Tamandua tetradactyla: one gene and its partner. Each later gene encodes a partner of the first gene's protein in a complex. Links are inferred from orthologs where the notes say so. Each region holds a gene or a part of one and is shown on either strand. Other genes may lie near its edges.

What was found.
Region 2: the proteins of TNRC6C (region 1) and GIGYF1 are in contact, whole or in part, in a crystal structure (PDB 7RUQ), measured with the Homo sapiens proteins. The link is inferred for Tamandua tetradactyla from reciprocal best matches to the Homo sapiens genes TNRC6C and GIGYF1. Residues at the interface, in NP_001136112.2 of Homo sapiens: Arg1719, Pro1720, Pro1721, Pro1722, Gly1723, Leu1724, Thr1725; in NP_001362694.1 of Homo sapiens: Tyr479, Asp481, Pro482, Gln487, Phe490, Trp498, Tyr503, Phe504, Leu508.

What each region holds. Positions count from the first base shown.
Region 1 is NC_135332.1:70,316,982-70,323,306, reverse strand, and holds the start of TNRC6C (trinucleotide repeat-containing gene 6C protein), read right to left. Parts: upstream 3,911-6,325; 5' UTR 3,753-3,910; coding exon 3,736-3,752; intron 2,492-3,735; exon of another isoform or gene 2,399-2,491; intron 1-2,398. UniProt on the Homo sapiens protein: Plays a role in RNA-mediated gene silencing by micro-RNAs (miRNAs). Required for miRNA-dependent translational repression of complementary mRNAs by argonaute family proteins.
Region 2 is NC_135349.1:8,770,422-8,776,746, reverse strand, and holds the start of GIGYF1 (GRB10-interacting GYF protein 1), read left to right. Parts: upstream 1-2,317; 5' UTR 2,318-2,333; intron 2,334-2,605; exon of another isoform or gene 2,606-2,698; intron 2,699-3,119; exon of another isoform or gene 3,120-5,583; 5' UTR 5,584-5,656; intron 5,657-6,196; 5' UTR 6,197-6,325. UniProt on the Homo sapiens protein: May act cooperatively with GRB10 to regulate tyrosine kinase receptor signaling. May increase IGF1 receptor phosphorylation under IGF1 stimulation as well as phosphorylation of IRS1 and SHC1.

The DNA of each region.
Region 1 (6,325 bases):
AGGGAGAATCAAATGAAACAATTTATCCCACCTTCCCCTCATAATCAGCACTCTAATGGCAACTATTTATTCCAAATTCCTGAGCCAACTGAATATAGATAAAAACATGTTACAAAATAATCTTTGCAAAAGCATTAAACCTGCCACTTTAAAAAGGAGAGAAAACAAATAAGGAATAAAATCTGAAATCAAAATTTACATGTACCCCCAGAGCACTAGCAGATTTTTTTTTCCAGAATATTTATTTAAATGTCAGACTCCAAAGTGAAATAGGATTAAGCTCTATAACTTCAGCACCAATTTCATTTAATTTCATTCTTTAATAGTAAAACTGAGGTACAGGTCAATAATGTCTTTGGTATGGATAAGAAATATGCAAATAAAGAGTCAAAATAAGCCTTTTCAACTAGATCCTCATAATAAAATCAAATCTTAATATCTTAGCATTATATACACCTGGGCCCTAATACCATTTCCCGGCGTGAGGAAGTGCTGCCTTTAAGAAATGAGTCTTTACCGCCATAAGTATAATTTAACTTAGCCAATCATCTGACCATTACCATTTTCTGGACTATCAATTTCTCGTGACCCAAAGTTTCTTTATTCTTATGAAAATACAAATATTAAAATTTTCGATAAAGGTAAACAAAGAAACAGCAACTCAGACCATTATGATGCTCTGTTAGCATAACAACAAAATTAATTCAGACAATATAACTGAATTTGTCATTTTTAAAACCTCAATTTGCATCACTTCCCCCCACAAAGCATCCTAGGGGTATCATATTGAAAGGTGGTCAAGGACCATCACCACCTCGGTTCTTCTGGAATAATGTAAATTCCGTCAAGGTGCCCTCTGCCAGCCAAGTTCATCTAGCTGACGGCTAAGTCTTGTCACTGGCTTCTTCACTCAGTAGAAGTCTGGAATGCATGCCTACACTCGTCAGCAACTCCTACACAGATCAACCTAGCCACCACTGTCCCCTGAAATTCCCTGCAGCACAGTTCCAGCGCCTCAACTCATCCCCAGTTATTCAATTCTCAACGTAAGAAATAACTTCATAAAATACACGCAGAAAGGCAGTGAAAATTATAAACTGACCACCTATCCTGGCAGAAGTGCCTGGATGTGCACGCCAAATCCTGGAGGAAAACCAACCCTCGGCAGCACAATGGATTAGGCAATCAGAAGCTTCCAACTTGAAATTCCTTAAAAGAGGCTTAAGTTGGACATCTACAGAGCACCATTTTGAGTTCAGAATCTGCAGTTCATGCCTAGAAAACACCGAGCAGACCACTCAAATGGAGGTTTAATCTGACAGAGGCAAAGGTTTGAGACCATTCAACTCATGACGTCTAGAATCACTTACACCCTCAAATACCTTAAAATGCAATGGGTGCAACGGAGATCTAGTGGCCCTCCTCCCCCAGCCCCCAACATAACCTCGAGGAAGCAATCCTTCATCTTTGGTAAGATTCCTCAAGCTCGGTTTCACATGGTAGCGAATTGTTTCCTCGCCAGGTTAACGCTGAGAACCCCTATATTCATATATGCACATTTTAATAGCTATGAATCAATTAATTAAATCTCATCCAAAGGTAAAGGTGCAAATGAGGCGTCGCTTAAAGCAGAGGTGGAAATGAGACGCTCGGGTTACGTTATCTGATAGCAGGGCAGATGTTGTAGGGCTCATTTTTCTCATACGCATTACTCCGCAGTCTGCAGCCCCGTTAGAAATTCACCTGATTTCAGACCAGCAGAAAGCAAACGGCCTTTAGGCATCGCTCAAAGGACGCCCTGAATTCCACCCCCGCCCTCCTCCCCCCAAACAACAGTACCGGAAGGAGCTCCTAAACCTAAAATGCTTTGGATTCGGGCATGCCATCAGAAACGCAAGAGCTGTGGGTTACGGCTCAGAGGGAGAACTGAATTTCACCAACTGCATCAGTTTTTAAAAGGGGGGGAGGGGAACGGATCTATTTTCAAACCATCAATTCCAATCACGTTTGACTCGAATTACACTTAAACATCTGCCAAATCTCTCTTAAAATATATATATATATATACACATATGCACCCAAACGTCCCGGGAGCCCTGGGTCAGGGTCCGCCGGTGCCATCGCGGATAGCGGTGGCATCCGGGATCAACCAGGCGCCGGCGCGCGCTCCGAGAGCCCCCTGCGTGCCGGCAAGCCGGGCGGGGACAACGGTCCCCAGGCGCCTCGCGGGCGCCCGCGCGCGTCCGGGGCGGCGGGGGGATCGCCCCTACTCCACCGGCGCTCCGGGTGGGGGCCGCCTCCCGCTCCGCACGGGTCGAACAAAGGGAACGCGAACATCTTTGGCAAAGTTGCGGCGAGAGGAGGTGCCCGCGGCCCGGGCTCCCGCGCGCCCGCTCACCTGGGCTCCGTCCCCGGCGGCGGCGGCGACGGCAGCTCCTCGGCGGGGCTCCGGCGGCAAGGGCGGCGAGGGCCTGGCGGCGGCGGAGACCACCCAAAGGCCTCGGGGGCGCTCGGGCGGCGGGAGTCCGCTCAGCCCCGGCGCCGCGGGCTCAGGTCCCCGCGCGGGCGGCGGCGGCGCGGGCGGGTGGGCGGCGGCGCGTCCCGGCAGGTCCAGGTCCGAGCCCGGCGACGCCGCGACGCGCCCGGCTCCTCGCACCGGCCGGCGGGACGGCGGCTCCGAGGCGGCCCCGGGTCCCGGGTGGGGGTAGCGGCGGCGGCTGCGGGCGCGCTCGGCGCGGGGCCGGCTCCGCTCCCTCTGCCGGCGGCTCGGGCGGGCCCGCAGCGTCTGCAGCAGCACGGCGGGCGCGGGCACTGGCCTGTCAGGGGCAGCGGAGGGCGGACGCGGCGGCGCTCAGGGCTGCGGGGCGGCGGCGCGGGCGGCGGCGGCTGCGGCTCCCGGGGCCGTCGCGCTGAGGTGCTGAGCTGCCACCGCGGCCATTTTGTTGCTCTAACTGACAAGAACCCCCCCTCCCCCCGCTCCAGCCAGACGGGGCGCTCGCGCCCCCTTCCCCGCCCCGCGGTGGCCGTGAACAGGAAGTCGTCCGGGCCCCTGACACGTGACCCCGCCGCATCTGCATACCAGAGGGCGATCCGGCCAACCGGCGCTCTGCGCTCGAGCTCCGCCCCCGCGCGCCCCTCACCAGCCCATTGGGTCCTCTCGGCCGGGCCACGCCTCCTCCTTCTCTCTTAATACCCGTCCGCGCTGTAGTTCTCCAGACCGCGCTGGGCGCGCACTGGTCGCGCACTGGTCCCGGTCCTCCCGGGGGTGCATGGGGACTCGCGTTTGTCCTGTCGCCGTCTCCCCTCCCTATCTCTACGTGCTACGGTACAGCGTGGGACGAATGAGGCGTGCGCCCAGGTCTTCAGGACCGTCCCCTCACCCGATGCCCCTCGCAAACCGCCGAGCCGAGTCTTGCGCGGCGTTTTCACCCGGCAGCGTCCGTACCGGTGCGCATCCCGCCCGGGCCGATCACACGCCCTGCACCCTCCCCACCGTGCACTCACGCGTACGCACGCCAGCCCGGTTCCCGGAGCATCCTTCTCGCGGCGCCCCCCACCACGCCCGTCCCTCCGGGCAGCCGCTCCCCAGGGAGTTCCCCGTCGCGAGCCAAACAAGCCTCGCTGCGAAGCAGATCCCGGGAGAGGCCATCCGTTTTCCCCGGAACGCAAACACCCCACCCCCGCCCTGCCAACAGACGGGCGTGGCTGAAGCCCGGCGCTCTGATCGCCGCGTACCCTCGGTGCTCCTCCATTCCGCCGCTCCTCTTCCATATATATTATTCATTACTCCTAGGTAAGGTCACGCGCAGGGTTTAATTTGAAAAGTCGTGAGCGCAGGTTCGCCCTCCTGTTCGTAACGCGGAGGTGCAGCGGGGCTGCCTGAAAGTTGTTGGCCATTCTCTGCCTACGTGTCCCCATCTTAAAGAAGAGATACCATCACACTACTTATTTCACAATGCATTTTGTTACCACATGTGTCGTGCTTTGAAACGTCTGTGGATGAAAGAGACAACAAATTCCCCGCTCTCTCTCTTCAGGATCTCGTAAGCTCGGTGCACGCCTTCCTTGTTGCAGCGTTTTGAACCTTCTCATACTCAGATTCACAAATCTCTCTAAAGTCATCTTCAAATGTCTGTGTGATGTATTTCCCTTCGCGAAAGCCTACATAACTTAGAAAGACCTCAAGCCAGGCAGAGCTGACATCGAAGTTTCTGCCTTTTCTACCGAACATTTTATTTACATTAATTCCTGACTGCAAAGAAGCTGCATCTTGTATTTCCTAAAGGTAGGGGCTCCAGGAGTGTGTGCATAATAATAGCTTCAAAATATGCAACATCTGCTAAGAAAGTTTTTAGATAAAAATGAAGAGTTGACTATCTGGATGGATCAAGAATTGTGATAAACAGAACTTCACTTTTTAAGAAATGGAACTCTTATTATTTAGTATTTTTCCTTGACATTGAACTTGTGACTTTAGCCTCTCAACCTCTGATTCCCTTTACTAGCCCTCTCCCTCAGCTTAAACCAGTAAAATAATTCTGTCTCCAATTATCTTAAACTATATTTAATACCTGGAGAAAAGGCAAAGTTATATAGACCACATTTTCTGACCCCCAAATTAGATCCAGGGTTTGGCTTGTGGATTTGTGGCAATAGAAAGAATGTTTGAAACCAGAGCTGACTGGGAAACATTAAGGCAGGTGATGGCCATGCGTGTGGAGAATGCAGAAACTAAGATCCATTTATTAGTGGCTGTTTAGACTAAATAAAGTATGAATTATGACCCCTGGCAAAACTGAAATGGGAAAGTTCATACTTATGGTCTGTCATGCCCTGCCTCCTTATCACTAAGGCATTTGCTTACAATCTATAAAGATGGGCAAAACTAAATAAAATGATGTTTGGGAGGATTAAATGCTAATGTTGCCCTTTATTTTAAAAGTCAACTAGTTAAGGCCAGGATGGAGTTATCCTGGCTGGACATAGCTCATGCAAAAAGATCTCATTGCAAGTGACCACATGCTCAAGGCGACTAAAGGTGTAAAATGGTCCATTTAAGAAATACAGTCTTTCAAAAGACTGTTCTTCAAGCTGGTGAGACCCCCTTTGGGGCACTATGTCCACTTCTAGACATTATGGTTTGAAAGAAAGCATTGACAATTTTTAGTCTTTCTCGGAGAGGAAGCAGTCGTTGATGGCAGACTTCCCATCTTTGCACAATGAGTGAAGGAGCAGAATGAAAGTGCTGAAGAGGTTGCTGCAGAGCAGAAGCAGGCAGCAGATGATGGCCCTCTTCAAATCTTTAAAGAGCTGCTATGTACAAATAGGCAGAGATATATTCTTTGAGGAACTTGGAGGCCAACCCAGGTCCACGGGTAGAAGGTGTTGGAGACAGATTTGGGCTCAGTTCAAGGAAGAGCTGGGAGAATTATCTATGGAAACTCTGTCTTAAAATGTCCAAAGAGCCACATTTGTAGAAGGGTTTAAGGAGAAAAACACTGCTTAAGCCATGCACTTCTCCATGGATATTGCAGCAATTACTTCATTGGGGGTGGGTGGAGAGAAAGGGTGAAGTAGCTCAGTGATTCTCAAACTGTGGTTCCTGGACCAGCAGCATCAAGCATTAACTGGGAGCTCATTAGAAATGCAGCTTCTATGATCCAACCCAGACCTATTGAGTCAGAAATTCTGGGGATGGAGCCCAGGAGGCTTTGGTTTTACAAGCCCTCCAGCTGATTTTGATGCCACTACTCTGGAGAATTTTGAGAACCACTACTCTAGAGAATAATAAAGAGTACCTTTTCTTTGGGTTCTGGGTGTAAAACCTGCCTCCCCTCAACTCCCAGCCTGGTTCCATCACACAGAGCTGTCTTGCTTCGTCCTGCCGCCTTCCATTTCCTTGATTCTGCGAGTAGAATCTGCATTCTAATGTGGTGGGCCTCTCCAAGGGAGTCAAACAAATGATTGCTTTTCGATGAAAAGTTAATGAAGCTGGAATGATGGAAGGACAGAGGAGGAGACAGTATTCTAGGTCTCAGTTTTCCTGGCTTTCTCATCAGTAGGCAGCAACTGACTTGACCCTAAAAAAGTGAGATGGATTTACAAAGGGTTTGCAGAGGCAACCAGGTATGGGGCATTGGTTTTCAAATTTTACTGTTGGACAGATTCACCAAGGTAGCTTGTTTGAAATGCAGATTCATGTAGGTCCAAAGTGAGCCCCTTTCATCTGCTTGTTTGACCAGCTTCCCAGGTGATTCCATTCCCAGTTGTCCTCTCCACACACTGAGAAATATTGGACTAAAGAAAAGAACATTAGAATAAGAGT
Region 2 (6,325 bases), on another chromosome or scaffold:
GTGAAGCCAGGCTCTGTAATAAACCAATCTGACAACAATAGCGCCTTTATCTCTCTCCACCTTACCACAGGGGACTCTACCATTGAGAAAAAAGGGCAACCTTGGTTTCCCCCAGACATCCCTTTCAGCTCAATTAATCATCCAGCCAAATCTCTTTGTTTAGTTCAAACCCTCGCAAATTTAAAACAGTACAGACCAAGACATTTTACTGCAGCATAGCGCCTGAATAAATGAAAGTATTTTAGATCTAAATGGCTTCTTCATCATCCTTTTCCTTAATTCTGTCTGGCAGATTCACAATCCTGATTTCCTAGCTTCTCTCAAAGAGGGGGCTTACACGACTCAGTTTCCACAATGTCATAGGCAGCAGCGTGCCCGCTCTGTACTGTCAGGGGAGACAAAAGGACTCACCAGGAGACATGGAGGATCCTAAGGGATCACTGTGGTCTTCTTACCTGGAAAGCCCAGAGTGCCCTCCTTGACATGCTACATCTACAACGAGTGCTACTCTCAGATCAAAACAGACTTTTTGATCTGTGTTGATCAGACTGGCGCCTGAGGCGTAGGAGCTAGTCGGTAGCCGGGTCAATCGGAACTCCAGGTCCCCAACTGAGGTTTCACTTCACGTCTCATCCAACTCCCAATCTAAGTCTTCTCTGGTCAGCACAGCGTGTTGCTATTCACAAACCTATGTCCACTTTTCCTAAATCTGTACTTCCCTCCAGATCCACTCATGCCACCAGCATCCGAGTGCTTCCACCTCCATTTCCCCACCATATCCTGCAATCTCACATTTCCTTACAAACTGTTAAAACACACTTAAGAGCTCACTCGTTCAGCCTCCGGAACACAGCTCCAATACAGAAAGGTAAACAATCAACCACTACCACCGCCACCAAAAGCTGCTGAGTTAGAAAAAACAGCTGTCGTGGGGTTATCTTCCAGGAGAGTTCTCACCCAAGCTTGGATTCTGTTGCTACATTTTCATACAGTGTTAATTCTTGAATATTGTGTGTTTCCTGGTCATGTTGAACCAGGAATTTCTACTAGCTGACATTTGTGGGGTGCCTGCCCTGGGCCACCCACAAGTTTAAAGCCACAGTCAGTAAGGGATGGAAGCAGCACAGGCTCTTACTTTCTCAGCCACTGCATTTTCCAGCCTGGGAGCAAGCAAGAATCCTGACCACAAGAAGCCCAACAGGACCGGGGTGGGCGGGGAGTCAACGCTAAAGCTCCAAATGCACAAAACCCTTGAGGGTACGTGGTGCGGGAATAAAGGGCCTTCCACGCGGCTCTGCTAGGGCACCATACACTAGGGCTCAACTTTCCAGTCGTGAACTTACCTGGGAGCAGTGAGGAACACTGCATATGGCTTTGGTAACAGCTGCTTTAGGAAGCAGGGAAGCAGAGTGTTACATTCTGGAATGACTTCGAAAGGGAATGGGGGAACACGCAACTTTGCCAACCTAAAAGTTTCAGCGACTCAGAAACAAAGGAGGCTTCAGTCTAATGTCTCACATCCGCAGGGTGATTTACTTCTTTTCAAAGTCTTTCATATTCACCTGCTTTGGTTCTCACCGCCATGAGAGAAGGAGGTGGGGGCAGGGAACGGGGAGAAGAGCATTGAAGACCCTTCTAAAGAAGAGAAACTGAGGCTCGAAAGCATCACCTCATGCGCCTGCAGTGTAGAGGCTAATGGGCGACTGGGGCAATCTGAACTCTAGGTCTCCCAGGCCGGGGCCGCCTGGAACAGTTCCTAAATCCCAGGTCCTGCGCTTATCCCATACAGCCCCGGACGTATAAGGAACGCTTCCCGCTTTTACTTCGCCTCCTTCAATCCAGGAGGGCTTCCCGAAGGAAGCCGCCCGGCCAGGAGAAGCCCAAGATGCCACTAGAGCCACGACCTCCGTCCCGCCCGCCGCGCGTCACGTGCCGGGGGCCAGCGCGGGGAGCGCAGGACTAACCCCGGGGACATCCCCCCCGCCCCCGCCCCGCGTCACGTGACGAGCCGGGCTCCCCGGTCACGTGCCCAGGGTTCCGGGGGCGGCAGGCGTCGGTGCCGCGCCCCGCGGGGTTCGCGGGGAGCGCCCGGGGGCCGTGAGGGGCCCGCGGCGCGGAGGGAGCCGGCGGCGGCGGAGGGGGCGGCCCCGCGTCCCCGCGTCCGCGTCACGTGGTGCGAGGCGGGCAGCCATCTTGCTACAAACACAAACAGAGAGGAGCGGCCACCGCGGGAGCGCAGCGCCCCCTCCCCCGCCGCCGCCGCCGCCGCCGCCCCCGGCCCGCCGCCCCCTCCCCGGGACCCGAGCCTCGCGCCGCCCGCCCGCCCGCCCGCGGTAAGCGCCCGGCAGTTCCGCGGACCCCGGCCCGCAGCCGGGCCTGCGGCCGGCCCGCCCCCGACACCGAGACGGCCGCGCCGAGCGGCGAGAGCCCGAGGCAGAGCGCGGGCCGCCGGCGCGGACCCTCCCCGGTCTCCTCCCCGAGGCGCCGCCGCCCGGTGCGTCCGCCCTCCCGGGCCCTCCCCGCCGCCCCGAGAGCGGCCCGAGCCCGCGGCCAGGGCCCCATGGCGGGGGGGAGGCGCCCGCCCGCCGCCCCCCGGCCCGCGCACCTGGCGCCCCCTCCCTGAAGGGCACGTTGTCCTCCGGGGCCGGCCCGCCTCCGACCCACCCCCGCGCTCCTAACGGTCGCCCCTTCGGGCCCATCCCCAGCCCTGCTCTGGGGGCCGCAGCTTCTCCCCCCACCACCCCCGCGCGCCGAGGGCGCTGCGACCCCAGTGTCCGAGTCCCGAGACGGTCCCCCCAACCCGCCCTCTCCGGGGCTCTCGGCGGACTTGGCTGGGGCTGGCGGGTCGTTCAGTCCAAGCATTCCGTGACTTGGGCCAAGCTGGAGGCCTCTCCCGTTAGCCAGAGCACCTCGGCTGCCTCTCCCCCTAAATTTCCTGTCGGCGAGCGGCGTTAATGCTTGGTCATTGGGGTCGCCCCCTCTCCCTGTTGGCTGGGCTGAGCAGGGGCGGCCGGGGCTTTGATTCCACCAAGCCAGGCTCCGTCGTCCACCCTCCCAAACTGTGCAACCTCCCCGCCCCCCTCCCCCCCATTACAGCAGCTCCTAGCCACAGCCCCTTAGGCTTGGCCTTTTTTTCTTTCTTTCTTTCTTTTTATTTAACGCCAAGGATCTTCAAGGAGCTTTTCCTCTCTTTCGCCTTTTACCCAGTCGTTGTTAGAAATTCCATGCCAGCTTGCAGGGATGTCCCATCGTAGATTCTGAAGAAATACCTGTGGCTGCTTCTTGCCTCCACCCACCCCAGTCTGGCTCCCCTCTGACTTCTCAAAGTGCTGCTTTCCCAAAGCTCATCTGCATCGGCTGCGGGCCCTCTGGGAGCTCTTTCCACTTAACCTGTCCTCCCCTCCCTACCCCATACTGCTCACCTTTACCACTGAAACACCATCAGCACCAGTAGGCCAGTCAGTCCCCATGGGCCCCACACAACGTGGCAGTTTTGGTCTCTGGCTGTTTCCCATCTCTCCCGTTCCCCTTGCAGGCCCAGGCCTCCTCCCCTCCAGCCTGGCTCCAGTTTTATTTCCTCGCTGTCAGTCCTGGTCCCCTGTTGCCATCATGTAATTGGGCAGGACCTTGTGTCCCAGCACTGCTTGGGAACCGCAGCCCTGAGCATCCCACGTCATGATATGGTTGCATGAGTCTTGTCCTGGGATTTCTCCACGAGCATTTCCAGGCAGCGGATGCATTTGCGTCCTTTGTGATTTCATGGGTGCAGGACCCCAGATTGGCCTCATTTTGATGTCTGTCATTAAAGTTCGGGGTTAAGAATATAGCCCTATTTTAGAGATTTTAAAGGAGAGAGGAGGCTGTAGGAAGGCTTACAGATATCTAACAAAACAAAAATGGCTTAAAACTCACGAAGTATGGCCTTGAGCTTGGGATGGTTTGTGTTGATGTGTGATCCTTTTCTCCAGGCTGGCATAGCGTTTTTGAGGGAAGTCGGGGTACCCTGTTAGGGCTGCTTCAACTCCCCTTCCTTGTTTCCCCCAGCTGGAGCCCAAGAGTAGCCAAGTGGGCAGGAGGGCTTAGATGAGATAAGGAATGCAAGGGTGTTGAAAACTTACACAGCATGTAAATGCCAAGTGGCATTGTCATGATGGTTGAGCCTGTAGAGTTGGGGCCAGCTGGGAAGAGCACAGGTTTATATTCCCTTAAGCCTCCGAGTTCAGGCCCTGTCATGCTTGGAGAATCTTTTCATCCTGAGAAAGGGCTAAGGCCCCTCTGGCAGACCTGGGATCGGGGAAATTGGGGACTACTGCTGATGGTGGTACCCTCTGTGCCAAGGGACATTGCCCTGGATTAGGGCTAATTTTAGGGGTGTGGCATGAGGAAGTAATGTTCGTTACTTAGTGTCTGCTGGCACTGCCTGTCTCTGCATCTTTTCCTTCTCCCATGAGTTCTGAACCCCCAAAACAGCCTCTCTTCCTGTTCCCCCACACCTGGTGTGAATGCAGAGGACCAGTGTGTACCTCTCTCCAGTCTCCAGCAGGGGGCAGCCTTTTAGCAGCAGTAAGCCAGGTGCTGGGGAAGTGAAGGTAGACTGAGGCCCAAGAAAGAGAAGGTGGGGAGGCATCATGGAGAGGAGATAGGCTGAGGGGGCGATGGGTTAGCTGGAGGAGGCCTGTGAGAAGGAGCCCTTTTAATCAGGTAGCCAGGAAAATTGAAGGTGAGAAAGTTGTGTTCCGCTCGTAGGCCTGGAAGTGGAAGGCAAGGATATTGCGTTCAGCCCTTAGTCCGTGCCTCCAGCTCTTTCGTGCGCAGGGAAGGGTCCAAATGCTTGCCTCTGAGAGTTTGTGATACAAAAGCTTGGGACACGTTATTTGTTTGCTTGTTTTGGTCGATTCTCTCAAGGATTTTTCTCCTGGCAGGATTTCTGGATTTGGATTTCTCTCACAAGACAGTGTAGTTAGGGAATGGTTTCTTTGCTGTTTAGAGGGGAGAATGAGCCAGAGTCAGTTTGCTTTCTCATCTTCCATCCTTCCCAAGCACAGAGTAGGCTTTCCCTGTGCTCGTAGCATGGAGGTGATTTCTCAGCAGTGGTACACTCAGTCATTCCACAGTGGTTGCCAGGGCCCACCTGGCTGTTGTTTTAGCAGCATCCCTGGCCTCTGCCCATGAGATGCCAGTAGCAATCCCTCAGTTGTGACAGCCAAAAATGTCTCCAGACATTGCCACATGTACCTTGGAGAGCAGAGTCACTCCCAGTTGTGAACCACTGGCTCCGAGGTAGCATGTGGAAAAGAAGTACTAGGGTGTGGAGGGGTGGACCCTGGGAGATGGCATGCATGCTCCTTTGCGTGGGTCCGTTTGGGTGAAGAAGGGAGCCAGCAGTCCCCCAGCTTCTGGGACTAAACCTTTCTCTGGCTGGGCAACGGGTCTTAGACTTTTCCTCCTAGCTTCTCTCTAAGAAGGTGGGATCACTTTGGCTTTTTGCTATTCGGTGGTTCCCTCTCTTCTCCTGTCTCTGCAGCTTCCTGTCTTCTCATCTTTGTGTGAGCCGCTTTTCCTCTGTTTGCTCCTTCCACCCAGGACAGAACCGTGAAGGCAAGAAGCAGAAAACACGAAGGAGAGCTGCCTTTGCCAGTCCCTGGAAGGTGGGAGGGTGAGTTTTTCCCTTTTCCTCTTCTCCCCTCTCCTTACCACCAGGACTGGTTTCTGTCCCTCTAGAGACAAGGACTCTTCTGGAGTGAGGTGGCTAGTGAGGAGTCTGGAGGCTCCTGAGGTGTGTTTGAAGCCCTGCAGGGTATTTTCTTGTCATGGTGTACAGGTGTTCCCAGGTGTCTCAAGGGTTGTAATGGAGAGAAGGAGTTAACCTTACTCTGCCGTTCCGAGAAGACCACCTTTAATTTAGCAAAAGGAACACCTTTTTGACAGACCTGTCTCCTGTGACGGCCTTGAGCGGTGCTGAATGTTTTGCCACCAGAAGTGTCCAGCAGCAGCTGTTGCAGAAGAGATGCCATGCTGTGATGGGTGTGGAGGAGGGTGGCCGAGCGCAGACTCTCTCTAAAAGCTGCGTTTCACCTGAGACACTATGACTCTGCGAGTGGCTCCCTGTTTGTCATTCTGTTTTGCTTCATCTTTGTGCCTGCCAACTGCAGCTGAGAGCTGCTTGTGGAAATCTTTCTTCTTCCTTCCTTCCCAGGACTGTGGCACCTGGATGCTGATGGGCACCTAGAGGGGCTCTGGGCCAGCCTCCCTGCCAGCCAGCAACAGAGCCCTGGTGCAGCTCCTGGGACGTCACTCTCCCCCCTGCTTGGGCAGTGCCGGGGAT